Arabidopsis thaliana: one gene and its partners. The protein of the gene in region 3 interacts with the protein of the main gene of each other region in a pairwise test. Each region holds a gene or a part of one and is shown on either strand. Other genes may lie near its edges.

Region 1 (5,721 bases), on a different chromosome or scaffold from region 3:
GATGGATCATAAGAGATCATTAAGGAATAGTTCTTGTGTAAAGCCCGTAAACCGGAAAATCGGTTATGGTTTGTGTTTAAATCACCCGGTTTAATCGGTTGGGTTAATGGAAACCCTAGAGTGTACCTATAAAAGAAGGAAACTCGAATTAGAGCTTTGGTTAGTCATTTTTCGTTCTGTAAAAGAGAAAAAGAGAGAGAAGGAGAAGGATCAAAATCGTTAGGATTGGGGAAGAAACAGTTTCAACATATCAAATCGTTGTCAAAGGTAACGAAATTTGGTAGAGTTATTTCGAAGTCTTTCATCGTCGTTTTCCATTTTATAGAAGTTGTTTTGGATTTAAGCTCATTAAGTTATTCACAGTTTCGTGAGACACGTTTTTTCAGACGCGAATTAGGCCCAGCAGAGATTATAACTGAGATCGTGGTCTTGTCTAGTTTCTAATCAGCACGAGATTTTGTGGGAAGCTCGTGACGTCGAAGGCTACTATCAGTATACATACCTATTCGGATTCTCGTTATATGGAAGTAGACGTACGTGTTTCATATACACTAACAAGTCATTTATCATAAATAAATGTGAACTATATATGTTTATAAGATTAAGAATTGGCATCTGTTTGACTTATAACCAAAACTTTGAAAGCCAACAAGTATGAGACCTGGTCTAATACCACAAGCAACAGACTACTTACTATACAGTGTATTATAACATGATGGAACCAGAGATAAATAAAAAATGTACATCAGACAAACTCCTACATAGTTTCTCTCCAGCCCCATAACCGGAATTACATTAAACCGTACCAAATGTACTCGGTTTACAGTCCAACCAGATTTCACCGGAGTTACAGCCCTTATGATGTTCCTCTCCTTTTGCACCTCCAAATGCACTTTTTACCTGTAAAACCAAACATACCACAGTAAATTTCATGCCACTTGGTTAGACCAATGTACCAAATTCCAATTGAACTGTGAAACATAGAAACTTTCACTAATTTTTTTACTGTGGTCTACTGTAAATGCAAACACTTGGATTTGAAAACAGTTCAAAACTTTTCAGCTAAATTCAATTTAAAACTGATACTACTTGGCTAGACAAGTGTGCCAAGCACAACGCGCATCGACGATTTATTTGAATTGTGTAGGAAGATTGAAACTTACTGAAAATTTGGAGACTTTCAATTTGAAAATGTTTAGAATCTTTATGTGAACTTATTGTTGAGAGAGTCGGATTTGCGAGTTACATACCCGGTTTGTGAAAGCCGTCTCCAGTTCAGTATTTCATGGTGATTCTGCAAGTAGCTAGACGTTGTACTTCCTCCTCCAATACCATTTTCTTCACTAGGGAACTGCTCTGAGTACCCTGGAGACCACTCGGGGACTATGCCTCCGCTTCTTTCTCTCCTTCCGCTGCTGGAAGATTCCGCTGTTGAGTCTTCAGTGCTCTCTGCAACAATTCTGATATTAAATTCTGGAATCATAGCAGTGACTTGGTTTGAAGCCGGTTCTGCTCTCCGCTGCTGAGCTTGGTTGGTGTTAACCATGTTCCTTGGAACCTCTGCTCTGCTATCTCCTACTGAATTTCTCAAATTAAGAGACGACTCTTCGTCTTCTTCAGGTCTGATCAAAGAAGAAGTAATGCTTGGAACCATCTGATCCTCATATCTCCTGTTTGGGTTGAGTCTGGTTGGTTCAGTCTCTTCCATTGTAATGTCCCTTGGGAACTCTATAGGAGCTTCCTCTACCTCAGCAGAATCTCCAAGTCCTTCTTCGGATCCGTTCTCTATTGCAGCTCTTGAAGCAGCTTCTAGTTGCCACATCTGTGAAAGCGCTTCATGAAGCCGTGCTTTTGCTTCGTCTAATCCTACAATTGGTAGAGGATAGTTTGATCCAAGCTCGATACCAGCAGCTTGAAGAACGGACTCAGGTGCGTTCCACGGATGATGTATCCAGTCTGTCGGGAGTCTAGAGAGTTCAGGAAGCCATCGCCTTACGTATTCACCATTTGGATCAAACTTGTACCCTTCAAACTGAGGGTTATCTATGCGATCAAACTCCCGGCTATCCGGGAGAGTACCGGTAATGTATTGCCAACCAAGAGCATCGCTTTCTAAATCCGCATCAAGAAGTGTGTCCCAGAAATACTTCATCCCCCATCTCCATGGTAATTGAAGCACTTTAACAAAGAAGCTTGAAACAACTACTCTTATGCGATCATGCAACCAACCAGTAGCCCATAACTCTCTCATCCCGGCATCGACCAACGGATATCCAGTCCGGCCTTGCCTCCATGCCTTGAAATAGTTCTCATCCACAGCCCAAGGGAAGAACTTTAGATGGCCAAGAAGTGGTCTTTCATGGGAATATGGATGGTTAAAACTTATGTACCTAGAATACTCCCTGAGACCAATAGATTTCAGGAAAAGATTCACGCTTTCTTCCCCGGCCTCGTTTCCTTCGTTTGCCCACGCGACCTGTTTGATCCGAACAAGATGAAAAACTTTTCTCACACTCACTTCCCCAAAATGCAAGTGTGGAGAAAGAAACGAGGTTGTAGCACTATCGGCTTTTCTGCGGTTCTTAGAGTATTCAAGCAATGGACCGTTTATAAACGTTGTGAGAGCTTTATCACCATTACTCCATCCAGGAGACCAAGCACGAGCCAGAAGTGCATTGCTTCCTTTCTCAGAGTCATCCTCAAACACCAATGGATCCGCAACACATTTAGACACATCCCCTGCAACATAAAAGAAACATTATTGAATGATACAGATTTGGAAAAAACGAAAACCCACAAGAGAGAGTGGCAAAGAAACAAACCTGAAATGATCTTCTTAGGTGGAAGAAGAGGAGACTCAGGGTCATAAGGCATACTAAGACATCTCTCCCAAAACGCAGCAAACATAGAGAAAGGACGGCCTAATTCATCAGTCACTTCCCATGGCTCATAAAGCAAGTCTGCGTTGAATGATCGAACCGCTATGCCTTGCGCCGTCAAAACATCTTTAGCTCGGTGATCACGCACCAAAGACAATGGATCTGAAAAAGATCAAAACTTTATCATTTCCAGATCATCTTATTCCACAAATACATCAAACAAAACATAACCCATAAGAGAAAAGATGATTCCAATCACAAAAATCAAATCTTTTTATCATGCAAATTCAAAGATAAGATAAAGAGAGAAGAGAAGAGGAACAACAGACCATACAAATGGTTGAAGAAGATCTGAGAAGCACCAGTGGATTTAACAACATCAAGAAGAGAAGCAACACTATCAGTAGATCTCTTGGTGATAAGACAAGTACCAAGACTTCTAAGAGAAGAATCAAGCTGAGCCAAACTGTTCTTGAGCCACCACCTAGAAACCCTACCTGGATGATAGTGTCCTTCTTCTTCTGGTGCCCAAACAAACAGAGCAATCACTGGACCAGCTCTTACTGCTGCTGCTAAAGCTGGATTATCTTCAACCCTAAGATCTCTTCTAAACCATACAATACTACAACCACCAGAACCACAACCAGATACAGAACCAGACATCTCTCACAAACTAAAAAAAACTAAAACTTTTCTTTGCCAATAATCACATAAAAATTACTTTTTTATTCAAACTATTTCCAGAAATCGAAACCCTTTGGTCACTTATCTCTCTCGAGAAGAAAGACAACAAAAAAAAAAAGATTTTTGATGAGAAGGCAAAAAAAAAAAAAAAGCTTATCTTTACGAATATCTCTCTCTCTCTCTGAGTGCCTCTCTGGCAAAATGCAACTATACTTTTGGGAATTATTCACCCAAAAAGATTTTTCCTAATTTTGGACAAAGTAGTCTCTAAGTAATAACCCAAAAATATAGCAATATTTGCATTAATTTCTCTTTTAATTTATTTATTGTTTAGGTTACAGTTTGAAAAAATATTTATCTCTTATTAAATTATAATTATTATTTATTTTTGGTAGAAATATAAAATTATTATTTTTGTCTTAAAGTGAAAAATCAAAGAAAAATAAAATAAAAATAAGTTATCTAAAAAAAAAGAAGAAGAAGAAATTGGAGGTTGATAGAGAGAGGTGAAGAAGATTGACACTAGGAATAATGATTCAATTCACACGACGAGATTTATTGGAATAATTTTCCACCACAACTTTTATTTATTTCTTTCCACTTGAAATATTATCCCAATCCAGTTGAACCAAATCAACTGTGACTCACAAGATTTCTACTCCTTTCCCTAAAATTTCTCCTTTTTTCTTTGTTCAAAAAAAAAAAAAAAATGTAGAATCTTATACTATAATTCTCTAGAACATATTCTACATATAAATATTAAACTGATTTTTTATACACTTGGATTTTAGTGGGACGATTATTGGTTAATTATCAAATGGTTCAATTCGGATTTCGGTTCTGATTCGTTTCGATTTTCGTTTAGGTTTTTAAAATTTCTGTGTTATGAAAAATGGTATATTCAGATAAAATAAAATGATATAATAAATGATTTGGTATAGTTTTGGATTTGAGGTTTTTGGATTATAAATATCAATATGGTTTAGTTTGAATCGGATCGGTTTATCTGGTAAAACAAATGATATCTTAATTTTATTCTTTTATTTTTTTAAAGTTGATTATTAAGGATAATAGAGAAATCATATAAATGATGTACCGAGGATGGTTCTGAAATGTTATTGGAAGGTTAGGATATGAGAGAGAGTGACATATTAGCAAAAGTGGGCGAGAGATGGATATGGTTGGCCCTCCTTGCCTTTTAACATATTTTAGGACTTTTTATGTTATCTATATATATATATATATATATATTGTTTTTGGTGTGGAGAGTGTTTATCTTGATTCATGATAGAGTTAAGACTCCCTTGACAAGTCAATTTAAGTTACCAAATCACTAATCCAAAATTATGAAACCTCTTTTACGGCTTTACCCAATTTTAATTCCATCACATATATGTTTGATAGTTTAGATCTACATTTTTCTCTTCTGATTAATTTTTATAGTGAGCGTAGTTGTCGAATAGTCTTCATAATTGTTTTTAATATGTTTGATAGTTTAGATTTAGATTTTTTTCATCTGATTATTTTTTTAGGGTGAGCGTAGTTGTCGAATCGTCTACTTAAATTTTTTAATAGCTTTAAACATGATACTGAGAGCTGGTTAAAAATATATTTTAGGTTCGAAGAAAATTGATTTATAACTTAGACCTACATAAAAAAAAATAACAAATCAGAATCACTAACTAGCTACTTGTATTTGGTTAAATTCCATCATATGCGTAGGACATTGAATTTTGTGGGTAAAAATTAGAAGATACAAACATACATTTCTGAAAATCATAAATATTCATCAGATTAAGTATACAACAAATTGACGAAAAAAAAAATTTACAACTAATTTACTTTTTTTTTTATCAATAACACATTAATTTAAAGATAACTTCATGATTGGTTTACCGCTCAACAATTAATTCACATCAGACAAAATATATTTAACAAAGCGGATAAATAATATAAAAATGAATAATGATGACACAAATGAACGGATTACATACATTAAAAAAAACAATCATGATATCTGCTCTCGACCACCTCTAAATTAGCTTGTTTTCGAGTGTAAATAACGTGCCTTTTATTATTTTATTGCTCGTAGGAGTATTCATAATATAGCTAGAAAGAGCTTATTATTTTATTATATGTATGTACAAAAAATAATAGA
Region 2 (7,137 bases), about 11 Mb from region 3:
TGAATAAAGAAACCCTAAAATCGAGCATCATCACAACATGAAACTCCTTACTCTGCTTCTTCTTTGCTTCTTCTTTATCGATGTGCTTCCTTGTAAAAGACATATCTTTGGATAAAGTGTTCAACTTTTTGCATGTGAATCGTACTCTTCTCAGAGATGTCACTGGAAACTTCGAGAGCACCTCCTCCGCCACATCCTTTGGAAGATCCGAGAGCATCGTCGTTGATTGTTTTTGCATATCGAAGAAATTTTACTTTACCTTTTACTCTGATTTCTTCAGAGATTATGAGAGAACGAACACTTCAGAAATGTTAGATGTTTCTAAATTGGGCTTGGGCTTTAAAGTATTACCCAAAGGCTATTAAAGTCGTTTTTTCCAATTTGGGCTCCTGATTTATTAGTATGGGAGGGCTTAGTTTTGGGCTTTAAAGTATGCCCCAATGCCTAATAATGTCTAGCTAGTTCTTCGTTATACTAAAGAACGAATTTTGGAAATTCTTGAATTACGATTGTACCCTTATATTAATTTCATCTTTTGTCTTATTCTTATTTATGCAAAAGTTATGCAAAAGTTTTAAGAAATTAGCAGCCAAGCCTAAAGAATCATTGAGAGTTTATAAGGGTGATTTGGTAATTGAGTAGTTTATTAGCTAATTTGATTTCAGTGGCACGTGGTAAATTACTGGTGGTTTAAAACTATTGTACGTGGACGATTCTTAGCCAACGAACTAGTACACTCTAGTGCGAACAGGTACATGATTAAATTCGTGGACATCCAATCATATCTCGTCCAAGATAAGACCAAAACATATGAGGTCATTACTCACTAATAAACATTTAAACTTTTGTTTTGTCAACGAATAGTGTGTTTTTCTTTTGTCATTCCAATTTTTTTCTGTTTTCTTTTCACTATTCACTTTTGGTCCATAATATTTTATGGGTATATAAGATAATCGTTTTTGTCTTCATACATGGTAACATGGATGTTTATATATGTAATAGTGTTAAAAAGAAAAAGTGGTCGGTTATACTTAACTTATTATGATAGAGCTTTGAAAACAAACAACACGAGATGGAGAAATTAGTCATTCAACAAAAGAAAAGGACGAACGCAGTGACTTAACATGAAACTGTGAGCGGCCCAAAATCATTTATGTAATGGACCCTTAACTTTTCATGCACACGATTTTTCTCATTTATATGTTTTTCTGCTCTCTTTTTTTCCTCTTTATCATTACTTTAATTTATTTTATGTTCTTTTTTCGAAGCACCATAATTGTATGCTTTCACCAAATAATCCAAATTTAGAATCATTAATATGTCAAAAAAGAATTGCATATATTCAATAAAACGTAATGCTAAGTAGTACAATGCATGTATTATACAAAATGTAATGATATAGATCCAACGTATATATCAAAGTGGACCAAAATATATCTTATGTATTAGACGAGTTTACTATGCAAAATTTATGATTCTATTCCGCATGGAGCGTGCTAATACTACTTCGAACCCCTTTGAGACCAATATGTGATTCTATATTCTATCTAGTACAAATTATGAGAAGTATATACGTACGATGAGAGTATAAAACATTTCAATATTTGTATAGAGAGGACACCACTTGGTTGACTTGACCCACGATAAGATATTGAAGAAACCAAACTTGTATAGTACGAATTCGAAATCGTAATTGATGATGCGATTCGACAAGTCCAGGGGCTCCCTCCCACGCGCAATGGGCCCAGCAACCACGTGTGGCCACTAGAGAGAATAAACCATTAGCCCACGTGATCTTGGGCCCAATCAATCTCTCCCTCACATTAAACGACAAAACAAAAGCTCTTCTGGGTTAAATTGATAAATATCAAAACTTTAAAGGTAATTTGCTAAAATCGCCACACAAAAAAAGTCGCAGAAAATATATGAGGAAACAAAAAGCGAAGACGACAAAAAAAAAAAAAACTCTGATTTTTTTTTGTTATCTCTCTCTATCTGAGAGGCACACATTTTGCTTCGTCTTCTTCAATTTATTTTATTGGTTTCTCCACTTATCTCCGATCTCAATTCTCCCCATTTTCTTCTTCCTCAAGTTCAAAATTCTTGAGAATTTAGCTCTACCAGAATTCGTCTCCGATAACTAGTGGATGATGATTCACCCTAAATCCTTCCTTGTCTCAAGGTAATTCTGAGAAATTTCTCAAATTCAAAATCAAACGGCATGGTTTCCGGAGTCGGGGGTAGTGGCGGTGGCCGTGGCGGTGGCCGTGGCGGAGAAGAAGAACCGTCGTCAAGTCACACTCCTAATAACCGAAGAGGAGGAGAACAAGCTCAATCGTCGGGAACGAAATCTCTCAGACCAAGAAGCAACACTGAATCAATGAGCAAAGCAATTCAACAGTACACCGTCGACGCAAGACTCCACGCCGTTTTCGAACAATCCGGCGAATCAGGGAAATCATTCGACTACTCACAATCACTCAAAACGACGACGTACGGTTCCTCTGTACCTGAGCAACAGATCACAGCTTATCTCTCTCGAATCCAGCGAGGTGGTTACATTCAGCCTTTCGGATGTATGATCGCCGTCGATGAATCCAGTTTCCGGATCATCGGTTACAGTGAAAACGCCAGAGAAATGTTAGGGATTATGCCTCAATCTGTTCCTACTCTTGAGAAACCTGAGATTCTAGCTATGGGAACTGATGTGAGATCTTTGTTCACTTCTTCGAGCTCGATTCTACTCGAGCGTGCTTTCGTTGCTCGAGAGATTACCTTGTTAAATCCGGTTTGGATCCATTCCAAGAATACTGGTAAACCGTTTTACGCCATTCTTCATAGGATTGATGTTGGTGTTGTTATTGATTTAGAGCCAGCTAGAACTGAAGATCCTGCGCTTTCTATTGCTGGTGCTGTTCAATCGCAGAAACTCGCGGTTCGTGCGATTTCTCAGTTACAGGCTCTTCCTGGTGGAGATATTAAGCTTTTGTGTGACACTGTCGTGGAAAGTGTGAGGGACTTGACTGGTTATGATCGTGTTATGGTTTATAAGTTTCATGAAGATGAGCATGGAGAAGTTGTAGCTGAGAGTAAACGAGATGATTTAGAGCCTTATATTGGACTGCATTATCCTGCTACTGATATTCCTCAAGCGTCAAGGTTCTTGTTTAAGCAGAACCGTGTCCGAATGATAGTAGATTGCAATGCCACACCTGTTCTTGTGGTCCAGGACGATAGGCTAACTCAGTCTATGTGCTTGGTTGGTTCTACTCTTAGGGCTCCTCATGGTTGTCACTCTCAGTATATGGCTAACATGGGATCTATTGCGTCTTTAGCAATGGCGGTTATAATCAATGGAAATGAAGATGATGGGAGCAATGTAGCTAGTGGAAGAAGCTCGATGAGGCTTTGGGGTTTGGTTGTTTGCCATCACACTTCTTCTCGCTGCATACCGTTTCCGCTAAGGTATGCTTGTGAGTTTTTGATGCAGGCTTTCGGTTTACAGTTAAACATGGAATTGCAGTTAGCTTTGCAAATGTCAGAGAAACGCGTTTTGAGAACGCAGACACTGTTATGTGATATGCTTCTGCGTGACTCGCCTGCTGGAATTGTTACACAGAGTCCCAGTATCATGGACTTAGTGAAATGTGACGGTGCAGCATTTCTTTACCACGGGAAGTATTACCCGTTGGGTGTTGCTCCTAGTGAAGTTCAGATAAAAGATGTTGTGGAGTGGTTGCTTGCGAATCATGCGGATTCAACCGGATTAAGCACTGATAGTTTAGGCGATGCGGGGTATCCCGGTGCAGCTGCGTTAGGGGATGCTGTGTGCGGTATGGCAGTTGCATATATCACAAAAAGAGACTTTCTTTTTTGGTTTCGATCTCACACTGCGAAAGAAATCAAATGGGGAGGCGCTAAGCATCATCCGGAGGATAAAGATGATGGGCAACGAATGCATCCTCGTTCGTCCTTTCAGGCTTTTCTTGAAGTTGTTAAGAGCCGGAGTCAGCCATGGGAAACTGCGGAAATGGATGCGATTCACTCGCTCCAGCTTATTCTGAGAGACTCTTTTAAAGAATCTGAGGCGGCTATGAACTCTAAAGTTGTGGATGGTGTGGTTCAGCCATGTAGGGATATGGCGGGGGAACAGGGGATTGATGAGTTAGGTGCAGTTGCAAGAGAGATGGTTAGGCTCATTGAGACTGCAACTGTTCCTATATTCGCTGTGGATGCCGGAGGCTGCATCAATGGATGGAACGCTAAGATTGCAGAGTTGACAGGTCTCTCAGTTGAAGAAGCTATGGGGAAGTCTCTGGTTTCTGATTTAATATACAAAGAGAATGAAGCAACTGTCAATAAGCTTCTTTCTCGTGCTTTGAGAGGTATATTCAGTTCTTCAGCTATGTTGTATCTGCGGTGTATATACCAATTCGCGGGTATTTGATTATTTTGTTGCATTTGGCAATGCAGGGGACGAGGAAAAGAATGTGGAGGTTAAGCTGAAAACTTTCAGCCCCGAACTACAAGGGAAAGCAGTTTTTGTGGTTGTGAATGCTTGTTCCAGCAAGGACTACTTGAACAACATTGTCGGCGTTTGTTTTGTTGGACAAGACGTTACTAGTCAGAAAATCGTAATGGATAAGTTCATCAACATACAAGGAGATTACAAGGCTATTGTACATAGCCCAAACCCTCTAATCCCGCCAATTTTTGCTGCTGACGAGAACACGTGCTGCCTGGAATGGAACATGGCGATGGAAAAGCTTACGGGTTGGTCTCGCAGTGAAGTGATTGGGAAAATGATTGTCGGGGAAGTGTTTGGGAGCTGTTGCATGCTAAAGGGTCCTGATGCTTTAACCAAGTTCATGATTGTATTGCATAATGCGATTGGTGGCCAAGATACGGATAAGTTCCCTTTCCCATTCTTTGACCGCAATGGGAAGTTTGTTCAGGCTCTATTGACTGCAAACAAGCGGGTTAGCCTCGAGGGAAAGGTTATTGGGGCTTTCTGTTTCTTGCAAATCCCGAGCCCTGAGCTGCAGCAAGCTTTAGCAGTCCAACGGAGGCAGGACACAGAGTGTTTCACGAAGGCAAAAGAGTTGGCTTATATTTGTCAGGTGATAAAGAATCCTTTGAGCGGTATGCGTTTCGCAAACTCATTGTTGGAGGCCACAGACTTGAACGAGGACCAGAAGCAGTTACTTGAAACAAGTGTTTCTTGCGAGAAACAGATCTCAAGGATCGTCGGGGACATGGATCTTGAAAGCATTGAAGACGGGTGAGTATAGTTAGAATTTATCTAGAAGCTAGTTTTGCTTACTTCACAAAATGTGACCAAATCCCAAATTTTGTTTTTTTCATTGATCAGTTCATTTGTGCTAAAGAGGGAAGAGTTTTTCCTTGGAAGTGTCATAAACGCGATTGTAAGTCAAGCGATGTTCTTATTAAGGGACAGAGGTCTTCAGCTGATCCGTGACATTCCCGAAGAGATCAAATCAATAGAGGTTTTTGGAGACCAGATAAGGATTCAACAGCTCCTGGCTGAGTTTCTGCTGAGTATAATCCGGTATGCACCATCTCAAGAGTGGGTGGAGATCCATTTAAGCCAACTTTCAAAGCAAATGGCTGATGGATTCGCCGCCATCCGCACAGAATTCAGGTACATTTCATTGTTCCCGCTGTTGTCTCCACATATCCATAACCAAAATTATGCAATCCGGTTTTTTTGGTTCCTTATTTTGTACATAAAGAAAATGAATTTGGTTTGGTTAATTACGAATTTGATTTAGGCGTTTAAAGAATTTGAGGTTTTAACCAATTCACTATTTGTTTTGGTTATTGTTTAGTTGGAACCTAGATTAGTTTGATTTTTGTATTCGGTTTAGTCGACTTGGGAACTTTTAGACACATCCATAGGCCTAGAATTAGCAGTCAAGGAATGTAATGTTTTCAAATTGATGAAAACCAGCTCAAAAGTGTAAAACTTGGGTTTCATGTGTTGGTGTCTTTGTTATGTCTTTATTCGTTGTTTGCAGAATGGCGTGTCCAGGTGAAGGTCTGCCTCCAGAGCTAGTCCGAGACATGTTCCATAGCAGCAGGTGGACAAGCCCTGAAGGTTTAGGTCTAAGCGTATGTCGAAAGATTTTAAAGCTAATGAACGGTGAGGTTCAATACATCCGAGAATCAGAACGGTCCTATTTCCTCATCATTCTGGAACTCCCTGTACCTCGAAAGCGACCATTGTCAACTGCTAGTGGAAGTGGTGACATGATGCTGATGATGCCATATTAGTCACACTTCAGTTGGTATGAGAGTTTGTATCATTGTATGAGTGTTTGTGTGTCTAACGACGTCGGAGGAGGATAGAAAGTTTTTTTTTTGTTTCCGGTGAGATTAGTAGAGAAGAGGGAGATTATTTGCGTTCAGCTCAGCTCGCCGGAAAAAAAACGTAACAGTAGTTGTAGAGAATTTCAAGACTTTTGTTTGTGCTGTGTAAATTGACAACTCCGAGAGAAACAAAACAATGAGATAAGAAGAGAGCATATTAATCGATGACCAATCCTTTTAATTTGTTACTCGTTACATCAATTCAAAATTATTATTTGATTGTTAACCATTTATAAATCATATTATATCCAATTAGTCTGTCTACGCAATCAAGAGGTAAAGGCCAATCACATTAATTTTAAAAGATTTATGATGAAATGGTACCGTCCAAAAAGTTGAAATTTTACAAACTCCACTATATATATAAAAAGTGAGATGTTTAAATTAGGCTGGCTAAGCTTAGGATGTAACACATTAACAATAGTTAATTTAATGTTTATGATGTATCGCACTATAGTTTTGATGTGTATGCTCTCCAGGCTGTTTCGTTTTTCACATTACCCACACTAAACTCACCTTTTTTCTTAAAGAAAATTAAAGTAAAGCTCAAAGACTGAAATATTAACAATATATAACTAATCATTAAGGAATCAAAACTCCATTATATATGCTCTATAAATACTCACCAATCAATAGCCTTCTAAATGTCTCAAACCCAATTCAAACCCTTAAACCCACCTAAAACCTTCAAAACTTATAATGGTTTCTAGTACACTTTTGGTTATGTCAATATCTCTCTTTCTTGGT
Region 3 (7,641 bases):
TGTCCGGACTTGTTAGAATTGGAATACTCAAAAGACACTTACCTGGCAGATGTGAAAGATGACTTGCAAGAGATGGCATAGCACCAAAATCTTAAAGATTTTGCTTCGAAGGAAGGATAATGTTTTGATTTTTAAAACGCAAGACAAAGAGAGTCTCTCGCGAAAGCAGAGGGTTCAAATCTAAAGAGAAATGTTGGCTCAAAGGCCTAAACCCACGCCACCAAGCAATCAATTACATCTTCCTATCCTAGTTTTACTCTTAAACATACAATGTACCCATTACATGTTGGACATAGATACAAAGAACATGTCTAATTCATGATTTCGAGATTTATAGTAATAGATAATAGGAAAAAAATAACCACATTTAACCCATGTGCCCTTCATCAACGACATATTCTACTTGTTTTCCTAGAGACTTGAAGTTGGTGGTCACACTAATAACATCGTATGTGCAATTGTTATGAATTTCTTCTAAAACAACACTGAATCTAAAACCATAAATTGTGAAATACGCAGACGAGAGGTAGTAGCCATGCGATGAAATGAATGGATGATATATATATTTTCTCTCTTATAGAGAATCTCCAACAACAATTACATAACCGAGCTAACGATATAACACACTTGTACAAGTTATATACCTCTCATCATTACACGTTATGCCGACCAAATATGAATCATTTCTGAAGAATCTGAGAAGTTTATCTCAAATTATATCTCATATATATAGAATTACAGGAAGAAGAATCAAATAATATATTATCACAGACAGTTTTGCTTCTTCAACTTCTCCAAGATTTCGAACTTTTTTTCTCTTCTGGTCATATGGGATCATAGTTTCCAGGACAAAAACGTTTGCTTCAAAGTCAGACCTGCTTTGTCCTAGTTTCAGACTCAAAAAGTCCAATGCCCGCAGTAGTAGCGAAAAGGCCAAGTTGTCAAACAAGTTTTAGTAGCTTCATGTTTCCAGTAGAGTTTGCAGCTACAAGCATATTCGATTTTTTCCTCCAACAGACGCTCGACACAAACTGTCCATTGTCATCAAAGTATTCGTTTCCAGAAATGGGATCGACGGATCCAAACTTGTATGAAGTCATTGGCATCGGTAAAGATTTATAGTAACTATATACCTAAGACGCAAAATCAAAGTAAAGTTTTTTTAGTAAGTTATAACAACTAATTTTAGGCAGCTTCATAAACAAACTAAACGCGATTGACATATACCACCTTTGATAATCTGAAATTAAGTATTCTAAAGGTTGAGATTTTGTTTTATGATGTGATATATACCTCATTGGTCTCTGAACCACAAGCTATGTATCCGTCCAAAACCGACAATCCAACGAAATTCTGCACAGGTAAAGGATTAGACATCAGAACTAACTAATGATGTTGGATGAGATGTTAAAGGTAGATAGAAAAGTTTTTGGGACTAACCTTCTGATTTGTATGTCCTTTATATGTCAATGAACAAGCACCAGGAGATAAACCAGAGGAATTTGTCTTGTTAAGATTCCAAAGCTTGAGAGAGTTATCAGTGGAAGCAGAAACAATGGTTTCTGAATCCATAAATTTAACATAACTCACCGCTTTCTCATGACCAGCCAATGTGCACCAAGGTGTTTTGACATACCGAAGGTCATAGCAATAGACCTTGTAATCAGCTGACCCAAATGCCAATAAGTGATTGGAATAAGAAGAGAATTGCACGCAACACACATTTGCTGGACTCCAGATTGTGCCTAATGAACGTTTCTGCATACCAAACAGAGAAGAATATAAGTTTCACTAGATTTGGAAATTCACAAGTATAAACAGAGAATCATGCCTTATGGAGCTATAATCTGGAGTAATAAAAACAACGGGGACATGAAAATTCTTGCAATATCAGGAGGTAAAGGAAAGAGAAGTGCCTCATTGATGCTCCAAAGCTTCACCGAGCAGTCATCACTTCCACTAACAAATTTTGTCGGGTCAGATGGAGAAAAATCAACTGACCAGGCTCTCTTCTGGTGTTCTGTGTACTGCGAAAATCCTTGTCCAGTGCCGGCATCCCATATCTACATTCATTAGCACCATACAGTAAGAAAATGGCAAGTGAAAACCATGAAATAGACGCTTCTATATCTCTATCTTATCACAAGATTAACATGTACACATCTCATAGAGGAAGAGAAAGCACATGAGGCTAGTCCTATAGATCCTACCGTGCAACATATGATGGTAAATAAGAAAGATTCCAAACTTGACATCGATAGGTACCTGAACTACACCATCGTAGTCAGTCGAGGCCAAGTAGTTTTTGATGTAGCTATTCCAGCAAACACAGCTTAATTTAGATTTGTTGACCATCTCTACTAGTGGATAATGAACACCGACAGATTCATTCATAAATGCATTGAAGTCAAAAATCTTGATCTTCTTTGATATCCCAGCTGCTGCTATGTGTTCTTCATCAGGGTCAAAACTCAACGAGCAGACCACACTTGCAGAGTTTAAAAGGTCCCCACTTCTTATTGTCCCACAGGTTTCGAACTTGCTATACCGAGCAAATTTGCACAACCCCTCGAAAAACACTTCGAGTTGATCTGAAGATTTTCCTTTGGTACTCATATCCTGATTTTCATTTTGGTTTTCAGAGCATCTGTCCCTGTCCTTTAGTGTTTTGTCAGAACGGGCAGTAGCAGCAGAACTCGATAAGTTGATTTGTGATCGCATGAAAAAATATGCATCTTCAAGTTGACGGATATTACTCATCAGCCTGTCTGTATTAGCAGTTGGTACAAACAAGGCACTGGAAGTTGTACAGTGCTCGTCTAGGGGAGATGATTGCACCCTTTTTTCAATAGCTCCATGAGATCTCACCAGAGATACATTTGAAGAATATCTTCGCTCGGCCTCCTTAATATCATCCTCTAAGGTCTGGATATCTTGCAAAAGTTTAGATGCTTTTTTCTTCTTCTGCACTTCTAATGAAGACAAAAAATGAAGTAACAGCTCAGATATCTCCTCAGCAGCAGCAGTCGATTTAACTGAATCATCCTCGCATATCAACTCTGACTTTAGTATATCTCTGTCACATAAAGAGAAAAGAATGAGAACAGAAAAAGAAACAAGAAGATAATTCACACAGTAGCATGCCATTTTTTTTCTTCACAATTAAGCGGGAAAACATTAAATAAAATTGAAGATATCCGGCAAAGAAATCTTAAATACGACTATTTAAGCTAATGGAAGGTCTACAGATTCTCCTTTGTACCACTCCTAGACTCCTAGTAAATACTCGCCCACATGAATCATAAAAGAGTAGCACTCAGCTAAATACCTAGCTGATGGTCGGGAGGAGGGTTCAGGATGTAGAAGCCAAAGACAAAATCCAGCTTCCTTCGGGTATTTCGAGAGAAATGTTGGTGGGAGAATCCGATGGCGTAAATCTGCCATCATTGCAGCATGCATCTCGCCTGACTCGCAATGGCATAGCAACTGAAACAACAATTGGTCAAGCTAGATGTCAGTAGGCGTCTTCACATGAAAGTATCAAACAAGTAAACAAAAATACTGACAAGTTATATACTGCAGACTGGAAAATACTAGCTCTGGGATTCAAAGTTCAGACTAGAGTAAGAAATTTCATGAAAATGAAAGAATATAAACTACCCAAAGCCCACATAAGCAGGATATGACAGTACATAGTGTTCAAATGCAAGGAAATGTTACATCCTTCTTGGTATTAAAGCAAACTAAAAATCTATCCACAACAATAAAACTGGGTATTCGTCCATACCTCAAACAGAAGAACACCAAGGGCATAAATATTTGATTTTTCTCCAATATCTTCTCCATTTATCTCCTCTGGACAAGTATACCATTGCTCTTCTAGCCATGTGGACATAGACTGTTTTCTCGACACTGAAGACACGCTTAAATTTTTTATGTAGTCTTGCTGTTGAAGCTCGCAACTGTCTGGATTACGTGCATCAACCATGTTTAAATCAATCACAGGGCTTTTCCTTTTGAAAGGTCGCCCGGTTGAAGTGGCCTGAAGTTGATTCCCTGGAGAATTCAAATGCAAGTCCATTTTTCTTTTCTTCGAATCCCTACCTCCACTAGATGATTCCTCAACAACAGGCCTCCTCCTATTCAAATCTTCGTCAACATCTGATTCTAGATCGTTCTTTCCAAAATTACCAATATATCTAAGTTTCTTTGATGGAACTAAAGTGAAAAGGGATGGTCTCAAGTCTAGCAAGAATAATCTTTTTGAATGGGCTGAGTCAACCAGTTCCACCAGCTGCCTAAATAGACAAAGGCCATGTCTTTTTTCTCTTTTAGCATAACTTGATCTAAGAAACTCCCTCAAACTGATTCCAATAGAAGATTTACTATGATTCCCATCACCATGTGATACCATACCATTTCCTTTGGGACTTGATTTTAGAGGTAACACATCGTGAGGAGTAGGCGACTTGCTAATATCCAACTTTTTTTCCTTGCTTCCTAAATCTTGATCAGAGACAAATTCAGGAGGAGTTTCCTGGTTCTTTCCTACTACCCCTTTCCCTTTCATAGCTCTTTTAAGTAACAACTGAGAAAAATTCGAAGAACTCACCGGCGTTTTCATTTGGACACCTTCACTGATCAATGCAGGAGCATTCATAATACTATTCTCACCAGCTGCTCTTAGACGTTCAGAAAAAGCTTCAAGATTCTGATCGCTCCTCCTAGACATAAAAGGTTTCAAGTTTTGCCTCTCAGAAGGAGCTCCAGCAAGCTGTTGTCTGATTCTGGACAACATTTGATCCATATCACGAGGTTGAGAATCAAGATCCCCATCTCCTGCCCTAAAAGCAGACCCTCTAGCCAAACGATAAAGATGCTCAAACTTGCCAGCCCTAGGACTATCCACATTAGTATTATTACTCCCTTGAACAATCCTGTAGTTCCCCAATGTCAACTCTTCAACAGAAAGCTTAGCTCCTGCGGCTTCCTCAGGAGGCGGCGGCTTAGTCAAATCAACATTCCTGTGAGCTGAGCTTCCAGGACAATCACTGTTTGCAGTTTCTGATTGAATCACCATATCGTTATGACGAGCATCAAGCTTATTACAAGGAACATCATCCACTCGTGCTTTCAATTGTATGTTGTTAGTCGCCACAGTTTCTTCAGCTACTCTTTCCATAACAGGCATCAACACTCATTGCATCAGCACCACACGTAATAATAATAATAATCTACAGCCTCCATACCTTAAATCATATACAATACAAAAACAAATCAGAATCAAACCAACAAAATGAAGAAGAAGAAGAAGAAGAAGAAGAAAGAAGCCCTACCTAGTAAATTCATGCATGTAGAGATTCTAAAACTAGTTAAACATACAATAATCACTAATCCCGAAACGTATCATTAGCTGTAATCTAAAGTAGCTAATCAAAACAGAAGAAGATTATGTAAAATCGCAGCAAACTATTAAAACCAATCATGAAGATTACGAGAAACGAGAAATACACAAAAATCAAATCGCTTACCCCGAAGATCCCAGATATCGAGAGAGATCACAATCAGATCATACACCGAAGCGGTGTGGAGAAGAAACCTCTTGAAGAAAGCAAATTCAAAAACACACAGAAGAAGAAGAAGAAGAAGAAGAAAGGTGAGGCTATAAATTTGTCATATACTATTGATAATTACATATAATATCTCTTTTGTATTCTGTGTATAGTCGAAGAAACACAAATGAATCTCTCTTTCTCTATAGACTTTTGCACAATTCGTTCTTCATTCCTTATTTTCTGATTTTTTATTTTAATGATTAATTTAGGCTTTGAAGCCACATATCAAATTTTCTTTATTCTGGCGGACAATTTTTTGAACATTATTTTATTTAATTTTTTCATTACTTTATAGCAAAAAGAGAGAAAGATTTTTTATTTTGGCTGCCCAATTATTATACTTGTTTTGTTTAAGTAAGAGGTCAAAAGGATTATGACACGAGATTACGTTCATAATCTTTTGATTAGTGACATCAGCTTTAGAGATGGTCCTGTTTTTTGGTCTTATTTACGGATTATGCCACTCAGGTTTTTCCTCTCTGGTTAAACGATATGTGTGAGTATAGGGGTAGGATGGTAAATAAAGAGGAAAAGCGTGGGTATTAAGAGTGTTGCATGGGGGAAGTAATCTTTAGGGATATTTGTTAAGAGGAGGAGATTAAAACACGTCGACGTCGCTTAATCTATTCGCCATTCGAGGGGGGTCACGTGAAAGATGTGGAGATTATTAAGCCACGCTTTTTTTGCGAATAAACTAATATACCCTCACCTATAACAACACTTTTTGGGCTCAGCCCATTTTGGAAACCCATTTGGGAAACTTTGTACAACAAACACAATTTAAACTAATATACTCCACCTATCAGTTATTGGGCTCAGCCCATTTTAATACTTTTATGGGCTGCTTCGCTTATAACTTGGACACAACTTTTGTTTTCCATAAACCCATTAGTTAAGCATTTATTTTAGGATGTCAAAAAAACAATGAAAAGGCATTCATTTTAGCCATTGGCCAATTTTATCAATGGTTAAATGTTTGGTTGTTCTCAAAACGAAACATTTGAGATAAGAAAAATAAAAATAAAAATTGGTCGATCTTGTGACTAATGAATTTAGGAATCTTATTTCTCTACCATCGAGTCTTTAAGATGGAAAATATACCAATACCACTCAAAAAATTGCAAATTGATTTAATTAGTTACTATGAATGACCACAAGAAAAAAAAAAGAAGAAGATAAAAATTTTGTCCAAAAGACGGGCTAATTTAGGGACTAATAGCTCCCAATAATTGTATCATTTTTGGGTCTTCTTTTTGGGTTTATGGATTCGTCTCGCGAAGCCAATCGTAAACATGATGCGGAGGAGAAAAGAGAAGACGAGAAAACTTCTCTGATGGAGGTAAATCTCATGGTGGTGCTTCTCTCTCAGCTTTCTACGAAGAAGGAAGATGAGAATGGTTTGGAGAAAGAGAGAAGAGACCATGTTGCACACGAGGCTCGTGAATCTAGAGCACGTGCAAACAAGAGGTTTATGAAGGATACAAAGTTGATGGAGAAAAGGACTCACGTGCTTCAGCCCATGGCTAAAGAATTCAGGCATTACAGGAAAATGTGAAGGCGCATGACTGACTTGTGATTGCCCCCAGAACCTGAGTTCAATTATATTTATTGGATTCAAATTTTTTTGTTATTGATCACTATATATAAAGATGAACAGATCTTTTCATTATTAATTAACTGTAAAAGATGAAAATGAAGAGATTTTTTGGCGTAATTAAATGTAAGCAAGTATTCGCTTTGTAACGAAGATGTATCCAATCTTGTATCAACTATAGAAGAGATGCAAATTCAATGTTTCAACCTAACCAGCAACATGTTGTATTATTTTCTCTGCTCTAATTCGGATTTGTGATGCTTAGTTAAATTTGTGTGGTATATCAGATAGAAACGTTTCATTCATCAATCTTATCGTGTTATGATCATTGTTCTTAAACAATGAACCAAAAGCAGCATTGACACGACCCTAGCTCCTCCACCACAATAACATGAAAATCCTCCTCTCTCTATTTCGGATTCGTAAATCATA

The links. Proteins that work in one complex are often made in the same cells at the same time.
Region 1: the proteins of SPA1 (region 3) and CRY1 interact in a two-hybrid assay, tested with the Arabidopsis thaliana proteins (3 studies listed by BioGRID).
Region 2: the proteins of SPA1 (region 3) and PHYB interact in a two-hybrid assay, tested with the Arabidopsis thaliana proteins (4 studies listed by BioGRID, with this or other methods).

What each region holds. Positions count from the first base shown.
Region 1 is NC_003075.7:5,722,081-5,727,801, reverse strand, and holds CRY1 (cryptochrome 1), read right to left. Parts: upstream 4,152-5,721; 5' UTR 3,543-4,151; coding exon 3,209-3,542; intron 3,042-3,208; coding exon 2,823-3,041; intron 2,740-2,822; coding exon 1,251-2,739; intron 901-1,250; coding exon 897-900; 3' UTR 534-896; downstream 1-533.
Region 2 is NC_003071.7:8,137,858-8,144,994, forward strand, and holds PHYB (phytochrome B), read left to right. Parts: upstream 1-1,905; 5' UTR 1,906-2,221; coding exon 2,222-4,385; intron 4,386-4,473; coding exon 4,474-5,281; intron 5,282-5,371; coding exon 5,372-5,662; coding exon of another isoform or gene 5,663-5,792; exon of another isoform or gene 5,793-6,038; coding exon 6,039-6,294; 3' UTR 6,295-6,604; downstream 6,605-7,137. Other genes in the region: AT2G18780 (F-box and associated interaction domains-containing protein), read right to left, coding at 1-238; XTH21 (xyloglucan endotransglucosylase/hydrolase 21), read left to right, coding at 7,090-7,137. UniProt on the Arabidopsis thaliana protein: Regulatory photoreceptor which exists in two forms that are reversibly interconvertible by light: the Pr form that absorbs maximally in the red region of the spectrum and the Pfr form that absorbs maximally in the far-red region.
Region 3 is NC_003071.7:19,021,631-19,029,271, forward strand, and holds SPA1 (SPA (suppressor of phyA-105) protein family), read right to left. Parts: upstream 5,899-7,641; 5' UTR 5,532-5,898; exon of another isoform or gene 5,337-5,531; intron 5,250-5,336; 5' UTR 5,192-5,249; coding exon 3,788-5,191; intron 3,487-3,787; coding exon 3,329-3,486; intron 3,077-3,328; coding exon 2,266-3,076; intron 2,064-2,265; coding exon 1,917-2,063; intron 1,759-1,916; coding exon 1,441-1,758; intron 1,354-1,440; coding exon 1,294-1,353; intron 1,134-1,293; coding exon 942-1,133; 3' UTR 524-941; downstream 1-523. Other genes in the region: AT2G46360 (uncharacterized protein), read left to right, coding at 6,877-7,170. UniProt on the Arabidopsis thaliana protein: Controls normal photoperiodic flowering and regulates circadian rhythms. Required for suppression of photomorphogenesis in dark-grown seedlings and for normal elongation growth of adult plants.